Coturnix japonica: one gene and its partner. The protein of the gene in region 2 binds, or shares a complex with, the protein of the main gene of each other region. Links are inferred from orthologs where the notes say so. Each region holds a gene or a part of one and is shown on either strand. Other genes may lie near its edges. The genes, in order: PELO and HBS1L.

Region 1 (4,331 bases), on a different chromosome or scaffold from region 2:
TTTAAGGCATAGTAAATGAGTACCTAAGAAGACCAAGTATAGTTTGGCTGTCTTGCATGGAGGATTTTCTATCTGTAATACTGTTTTCAAACATTTGAGCAAAAATAAAGAGTCTGACATAGTTTTCTGCTTATTTTATTAGCTTTTTGTACACATTACAGAACATTAAGCTGACAATCTGCCTTAGCATATAGAATAAGCATAAAGAATAAGCAGCTTCAGGGACTGAGAACTGTTTCTGGTACTGCTGGAGGTCCAGGGTGTAACTTGCAAAACCAGTCAGCTCTAAATCTCAGCATTCCATTCATGTCATTTTGATGTCACTTGGAAGGGATACTGTGAAATGAAGCCACTGTTGTCAATCTTCTTCAGAGCTAGATTCATCCTCCTGGTCGGAGAGCTCAGCAACAGGGAAGCGCAGGATGGCTGCTACCCCTGTCAGCTGGCCAAGCTGCTCACCAGATACATGAAGGCTGGAGAAAATGCGCACTGTGCCCATGTTCTCCCGTACACTATCTACCAATTTAACGTATCGGGCACGTGTAGCCACATCTTGGTGCCGGAAAAGCTCATCACTGATCAACAAAGTATCAATGGCCATGGCTTCATTGGCCTTTTCCACATGTTTTAGGCCATAAAAAGCTCGGTCAGGCTCATGCTGCAACATTTTGTAGAAGTCATCTAAGGCTTTGACCTCACCAGCAGCCTTAGTGTCAGAGAGACGGCTAGTTACAGCTGGGTCACAAAGTGCCTCCTTCAGTGCGTACTTATGTCCTGATGATGAATGTACCTGGAGTAAACAAAATCAGAGATTCCTTCTTTAATACAAAGTACAATTGTCTTGATTAGCCAATCACAAATAGCTTCCACAATACATATTTACCTTGATAATAATCAATTTATCTCTTCCTTCAAGTCTTTTCTTAACTCTTCCTCCTTAACTTCTCCTACAATACAAACCTCAACCTAAATCTACAAACTATATTTTAAGCTTATTAAAAAAATTATTTTCTTTAGAAACAACCCTAAAAAAACAAGCTGTTATTAACAGCACCAAAGGCAGAAGCATCTCAAGCTACTAAGAAAACTTAAGAAAACTTAACCCTCTTTATTTTACAACATACAAGAAGAATATGACCCTTTATGATTGAAGTCATACAGCACAAAAGCATTAAGTCTAGTCTAACTGCATATTTCTATGCTTGCTTTCACACATTATCATTTTCCTGTATATGCAAGAGCAGGCTTCTTAGTGTAATTTAAGACTACCAAATTTTATGACCACTAAGAATTGGACCGTCTCCATTCTGAAAGCACAGATTAGGCCTGCAACAATTCTAAAGTGACAAAAGCATCCTTATGAAAAGGAAAACTTACTTTTCAATTTGTCTTTGCCTATTTCAATGGAAGGCAAAAATGAACAGACAAACATAATAAAAAACCCCAACCAATTATTAGAATCAAGAATAAGAAGAACTGTTATGGTCTACACAATCTATAACTAGCAGCAACATTAACTAAACTATACCACTTCCCTTCCTCTATTAAAACCTTCAGAAAGCTGCTACTAAACGTACATATTATATAGCATGGCTGTTTAACACTACAATTGAACTGCTTTTCAATTAATATTTCACTTTTAATAGTACATTAAATAGTTATTTAAAGCCAATATTTTCTCTACTTCATGCCAAATTATCCAAGGAAAGAAAAATCCCCGAGTGTTGCCTAACTACTTTATAACTTGAGAGGCATGAGAATATGCCTTTCTATTACAGCATCCCCTATGAAGCTGTAGTAGAAAGTTAATTTCTCCAGTAATGGTATTATTTCCCCATCCTCCTTGTATTTCTTTTCTATTAACATGGAAGGCACCTCTTAATCCACTTTTTAAACTTTGTAAAAAACAATGTATCCCCTTACCTGTAAAAACTTGGATCTGTTCTCCAGTAAAAGCTTGTTGTCAGTTTTAACTGCCTGCTGGAACATGTAATCACAGAACTGCTCTCGAACAAAGCCTGGGCTGGCCACCAGTACACACTTCACCACCTCAAAGTTGATGTGCCGCTGTATGGCCTGCACCACCTGTTCATAAAACCTCTCTAGGGCCCGGTCATGCTGGCTGCAGTTTCCTTTCCGTTTGCGAGGGATATTCACTTCCACCTTGGCACGAGTGAGTGTCATGCTGGGGGTAACCAGGCAGACATGAGCCAACCCCTCCTGCATGACCACGGCTGCCACATCAGCGCTCCATGCCGGGTCACAGGCTTGCTCGATGCGCTCCAGCACCACACTGTCCCACTGTTTCTTTGCCAGCGTGAACTGCCGGTTGGGCTCCAGCTCGATGGTGTGGTAGGCCCCCATCTTGACGTACTCATTCTCCTGGATGTTGGTGCCTTTGACCCGCAGCTGGCAGGCCTGCGTGTCGAAATCGATGGCCTCCACGCAGAGGGTAAGGGTGGTGCGGATGCGGTTGCTGCCCACGCTGCCCGTGGACGACTCGGTCTGCACTTTGCGAATGGTGGAGGCCCGCAGGCTGTCACCCACCTGCAGCAGGTTGTAGGTGTGCCACATGTCCTCGGGCTCCTCGGGGATCAGCGTCACCTGTCCCGCATTATCCTTCTCCAGGTCCTTCCTGACCAGCTTCATCCTGCCGGCGCCGTCCCCACCTTCTCTTCAGCAGCGGCCCAGCCTGTCTACTCACCCCGTGAGCCCTGGTGGCGGCGGGGCCAAGCGGAACGTACTGCCGGCCGATCAGCCAGGGGCCGATCCCCGACCGCGGACGAGACGCGGCCCGGCCGCGAAACCAGAGCTCCGGGAACCCGACTCCTGTAGGCTCCTGTAGGCTCCTGTAGGCCGCTCAGCCGCCCCTCCGCCTCACAGCCTCCTCCCCAGGCGCATGCACCGAACCCGTCCGACGGGGAGCCAGCAGCGGCCGGCAGCCCTTCCGCACGGCACGCATGCGCAACGCCCTCCACACGCCGCCAACTCAGCCATTAGGAGCTGGCGCATGCGTACGGCGGAGCCTCTGTTCTGTGGTGGAAAAGCTGAAGCGAGAGTGGGGGTAGTTGCACTAAGTTCCACACGCATGTAGGTATGGAAAGTCATGGATACAGATAAAGGAGATGAGAAAAGTACAGCTAAATAGCAGATTTCCTTGCTGAGATAAGTGAATTCTGTGATACTTCAGAATCACATCGAACAGGCTATGATATCTAACGTGCTAGGGCATGAAAGAGGTGACTAGAGAGATGGTATTTACAGACCACAATGAAAACGAGTCCAAAGTAACACGAAGCCGTGACTGTTAGTTTGACTTTACTCTTAAAAACAGCTTAAAGGTTTTGGTTAAACTGTTACTAATATTTTTTTAATACAGCCTACCTTCAGTTGTACTCAAACACACCCAAAAACTTGAGCTCCTTCCTGAATCTCCTGTTTGTGGTCAGAATGAGACAGCTGTGAGAACCATCAGACATGCAGTATAAAAAGCTCCGTGTTCTGATGTTGACAACTCAGTTTGCATCTTGGATGAATTTAACAAACCAGAAATAATATAAAAACCTGTGATACAGTCGTGCAAATTCTGACAATTTTGGAATTCTGACAATTTTGAAACAGTGTCGTGATGCTGAATGCTGTTTTCAGAAGGAATGTTGCAGATTTGTTAAAAATGAGGGGAAACTGAGAAGGATGGAGACTAAAAGGATGTGTTTGTATGACAAAGAGATTGGAAAGTGAAAATACTTCATAAAAGAGAGAAGTTACTTTGCTTTCTAAGTTTATCAGGGCAACTGGAGCAAATAAAGTGAGTTTTGATATACCTCAGCCATAACTGAAAAGCAAGAAATATCCTCTTGACAGTTTTAAACTTTCTGCCTTCCCCTTGGTTAAGAAGAACTTTATGGTTTCCTGTAGTTTCTTAAGAAAATGTTTCTAACAAGGAAAATAATTTGACTGAAGGATTTAATGAAATACAAGATTTGTGTTAGCAAGTGATATCTCCTATTGTGGTGAAATTCATGTGAATAATATGAATTTCCCTAAAGTGTCTGGCACTGGTCACTAATTAGAACAGGACACTGAACTCATATCTGGCCCGGTGACATGTATTCAGTGTTTCTAATCTTGATGCTGATGTAAAAACAACTTTATCAGATATTACATAACAGGATTTATTTATGAGACCTCAGACTCTCTTCCTATGAGTACACATGCCGAACTGTTAGCATGAGTACTTTCACAGAAGGAAACTGGACCACCCAAGGGAATAAAACATAAGCACACACATAACTATTTGTTTAATTTGGGCTTGTGCATACACATAATTT
Region 2 (4,562 bases):
CTTTCATTTCGAAGAGTTATCCTCATGTTTACCCACCCACCTTTCAAAACTCAGCAAGGTCAAAACATAATTCAAGATCTCCTTCAACTTAAGTTTGAAACAGTTTCAGCCAAAAAAGCAAGACTCCTATCCAGTTACTCAAAGATACCCATAGACCTCATCCATTTGCTGCCCAGGGAGGTGGTGGAGTCTCCTTCTCTGGAGATATTCAAGACCCGCCTGGACACCTACCTGTGTGACGTGGTGTAGGGAACCTGCTTTGGCAGGGGGTTGGACTCGATGATCTCTAGAGGTCCCTTGCAACCCCTACAATTCTGTGATTCTGTGATTCAAATTTTAAGAAACATATCAGGAAACATAATCAGAAAGTAAATTATTCTCTATTAAAAATATACGCATATCCTGGTACTACATATACTTTGAAAATAAACTTACATTTTTCACCAAGAATAATGAAATACATAATGGAATAGTGAAATATTTCTGAAGACGTTACTGCATATGCTTGACAAGTTCACAAATACTGTTTGCTTCTTTTTTCACAGAATCACAGAATTGTAGGGGTTGGAAGGGACCTCTAGAGATCATCGAGTCCAACCCCCCTGCCAAAGCAGGTTCCCTACACCACGTCACACAGGTAGGTGTCCAGGTGGGTCTTGAATATCTTCAGAGGAGACTCCACCACCTCCCTGGGCAGCCTGTTCCAGTGCTCCGTCACCCTCACTGTAAAGAAGTTCTTGCACACATTCGTGTGGAACTTCCTATGCTGAAGTTTCAGCCCATTACCCCTAGTCCTGTCCCCACGCACTACTGAAAAGAGACCAGCCTCACCACTATGGCCCCCACACCTCAAGTATTTATAAACTTGGATCAAATCCCCTTTTTTTTAAAGAAAGAGGAAAAAGTAGCTAGAAGTTACACAGGAATTTGGTACTCCAGTACCAACTCAAAGGCCACAGAACTAGGATATTACAAACACTGTATCCATCCAAAAAAGGAACAGATTGAGATGTGAAAGGTTAATTTTACTCTCAACGCATCTCTAGACCACAGATAAATTCCACAGCATCAACAGCTATCTTGCCAAAATACTCCGCAGGAATTCAGCAGATTTCAGCTCAGAACTCATTCAGTTCTGAACACACAACCTCAAAAAATGCTCAGAAACAGAATACAGTTACATTAAGGCTGAAAATCCTTCCTCAGGGCTCCGAAGCCTTCCTACAAAAAGGAGACCAAAAATACGCAGATATTTACTTTAGAAGACCAAGAACTGGGCTAAACAAAGCAGAATACATACATGTATTCTAAGTAACTTAGCAAGATTGCACGTGACTACAAAAGTAATATATGACGGAAGTATACAGACCACACATATGCACACCTGTAATTAAATCTGATGTGTAATGCAACAGTAGAACTTCAGAGCAGCAATACAGGCCTCATAAGGTTAAATCAATTTATAGAATCTCAGCAAGATGAGTTAAAAGAATTCCTGATCTAAGTAAAAGCACCAAAGTGAGTTCTACAGGTTGTACACTCACACAGAGGGCAGAGGCCCAGTTAAGAGCAACATTACAGCCAACATCTTTGATGAAGTAAATGCCTGTCGAGGCTGAAAAAATTCAGCACAAAAACTCCCAACCCAGGCTAAGGTTGGGCTTCTAGTAGGTAAACTTGGAGAGCAAGGCAGCTCACACTACAGTAATGGAAAATGCAGATTGAAATGATTTCTCTCAAAAGTCCAAATTCATGGCACAAAACCCGATCTCTGAACTTTGCACCTGTTCACTCAGAAGAGCGGAGACAGGGAGAAATATATTCTGCATTCTTTTGTACCTGACGAAGTAGCTGCTTCCATACTAACATATTATCTAGAACACCAGTATAAAGTGGAACTGTGCCCATTTTTTCACAACACAAGCCAACACAAATAAAACCCTTCAGCCAATGGGCACAAAGGGCAGTTTGCTTGTATTAATGGGACAGGACACAAAAAAAGTCACTTTACTATAAGCTGAAATTCATACACGAGATCTTATTCACTCCATACAAACTTGAGTACAATATAACAGAAATATCTGATTCTTCCTTAGCTGCTCAGGTCTATGATTCAGAACTATGCCTCGCAGAATCACAGAATGACCCGGGTTGGAAGGGACCTCAAGGATCATGTAGTTCCAACCCCCCTGCCTGGCAGGGCCACCAAACACACTCCTTTACTAGATCAGGTGGCCCAGGGCCCCGTCCAACCTGGTCTTGAACACCTCCAAGGACGGGGCATCCACAACCTCCCTGGGCAGCCTGTTCCAGGACCTAACCACTCTCCTAGTGAAGAACTTCCCCCTAACATCCAAAATTCTCTCCTACACAGAAGTGTTGCCGCTGTACAGACGTTGTCACTTATCCATAATATACCAGTAACAACTTGCTGCACTGAAACTGGACCCATAAACTTCCAAAAGACTCAAGAGAGGCTCAGTCACACCGTCACTGGCTTTAAGCGACTCCCACGCCTCTGAAAATCGCTCAGCCTCGGCAGCCCCGGGCCGGGCAGCAAAGCGTTTCCCGCTGACGACGAGGCAGCCCATCGGCGGCGGGCGGGAAGCGGCGGGGGGGCCGAGGGGAGCGGGGCGAGGCCTCCCACGGCGCCTCGTCCAACCCCCGCGTAGGGGAGGGGAAGGGAGCAGCTGCTTTTCCCCTCCCACCGGCCCGACGATCCCCCGCGCCCTCGCCTCGAGCCTCGCGGTCTCCTCAAGGGCCCGCCGGGAAAGGGCTGCGGGCCGGGGCTGCGTGAAGGGAGGGTGGTTGGCAGGCCCGAAGCGGGATCGGCGTCGGATATAACCGCCGGCTCCTGCTCGCCACTACCTTCGTCGTAGTTGTAGCCTCGGACGTTCCTGTGCCGGGACATGATGGCGGCGGCCGCGTCGCTCGCCCGCTGACGCTGGGTCGATGGGCCTAAGACGCCATGTTGGTCTCTGCCGGGTCGCGCAGAAGCCCAATGCGCAAGCGCACCGAGCGCACTTCCGGCCGCGCCGCGGCTTCGCGCATGCGCAGCGTTGTCCGGCAGATGCGGCGCGTGCTGATCGGCGGGAGCGGGGCGGGGCGGGGCGGGGTGGAGGCGCCTCCGCCCTCACAGCAGGAGGAGGGAGGGAGGGCTGGGTGTCAGTGTGCATTGAGGTGTCCAAATGGCAATGGGAGTGTAACCTGCCCTTAGGGGGAAGTTCTTTACCAGGAGAGTGGTTAGGCCCTGGAACAGGCTGCCCAGGGAGGTTGTGGATGCCCCGTCCTTGGAGGTGTTCAAGACCAGGTTGGACGGGGCCCTGAGTAACCTGATCTAGTAAAGGTGTATGTTTGGTGGCACTGCCAGGCAGGGGGGTTGGAACTACATGATCCTTGAGGTCCCTTCCAACCCAGGTCATTCTGTGATTCTGTATGAGCCACAAAATGAATAAATTGCTACAACCACGTTTGCATGTAGTAGTATATATATTTAACCATCCTGACCACAGCCAGAGGCAAGGTGTGTTAAACATAAGCCAAACTGTGTGTTCATGTACAAATTGCATGCAAATGTGCAGATTGTTTCCTTGTGTTATTTGCATATTTCTAATCAATTTGTACAGAACAGCGCGCGCAGCTGCACAGACCTAGGATCTATATAATGTCTTTCATATGGCGCTAAGATTAAATTAGATCTGGAAACAAAAATATTTAATTAACGTTGATGTACTGTTGACCTTCGGTGACAGAAATAAATGTTCTCTGCCACAGTTTGAATGAAATTATATTTATCGCTATCTGTCCCAATCTCTTGATATGGGTCAGAGATGCAGAACTGCTGTCATTCTTTATGATTTCATATTGCACCCTTGCTGAACATTAAGTTCCACATGGCACCAAACAGTCTTTAGAAGCTCTTGAGTGTTTTCAAATACAGTTTTTGAAGGATTATGACAAATACGTACCCAAACCATTTGTAGCAGTAGTGATTCCCTGCAGAAATGTATGAAATTTCTGAACAGCTGATTCCCATTGCTTCTAACAGCAGAAGTCAGACTGATACATTCAAAGTAAGTCATGCCATGAGAGTGCTTGTAGAAAGCTCCTAACTGTACATGTCATGCTTTAATGTTGTGTAACATCATGTAGAGTTGTGGCACTATCTTCTGTTGGGTGATACAATTCTAAATTCAAAAACTGATTGTAGCATGTGCGATCTGGTCCTCTGGTGAAGTAAATTAGCTGTAAATTAGAACCCTGTATCACTACAAGCCTCACAGTGTTCTGCCAGTCTGCCTCCAACAAGCTTGAACTTGGAAACTGCACTTTTTTTCAACCTCCAAAATTAGATCTTATTTTTTGAAATGTTAGAATGTCAAGTAAATATTAATCATGTAAATTTAACATATTTTCCTTTTTCAAATAGTGACATTTCTCATTTCAAACCAGATCGTCCTATTGCAAAGATGTCCTTTTAGTCTTCCTCATCGTGCTTTTTACACAAATCATCAGATGCTTATCAAATAATTATTTTTCATTTTTGAATTTTATGTTCGTGT

What was found.
Region 1: HBS1L (region 2) and PELO share a complex: the UniProt entries of both Homo sapiens proteins name them as parts of the pelota-HBS1L complex. The link is inferred for Coturnix japonica from reciprocal best matches to the Homo sapiens genes HBS1L and PELO.

What each region holds. Positions count from the first base shown.
Region 1 is NC_029547.1:17,374,078-17,378,408, reverse strand, and holds the start of PELO (protein pelota homolog), read right to left. Parts: upstream 2,962-4,331; 5' UTR 2,650-2,961; coding exon 1,924-2,649; intron 791-1,923; coding exon 359-790; 3' UTR 1-358. UniProt on the Homo sapiens protein: Component of the Pelota-HBS1L complex, a complex that recognizes stalled ribosomes and triggers the No-Go Decay (NGD) pathway.
Region 2 is NC_029518.1:50,454,754-50,459,315, reverse strand, and holds the start of HBS1L (HBS1-like protein), read right to left. Parts: upstream 3,019-4,562; 5' UTR 2,912-3,018; coding exon 2,869-2,911; intron 1-2,868. UniProt on the Homo sapiens protein: GTPase component of the Pelota-HBS1L complex, a complex that recognizes stalled ribosomes and triggers the No-Go Decay (NGD) pathway.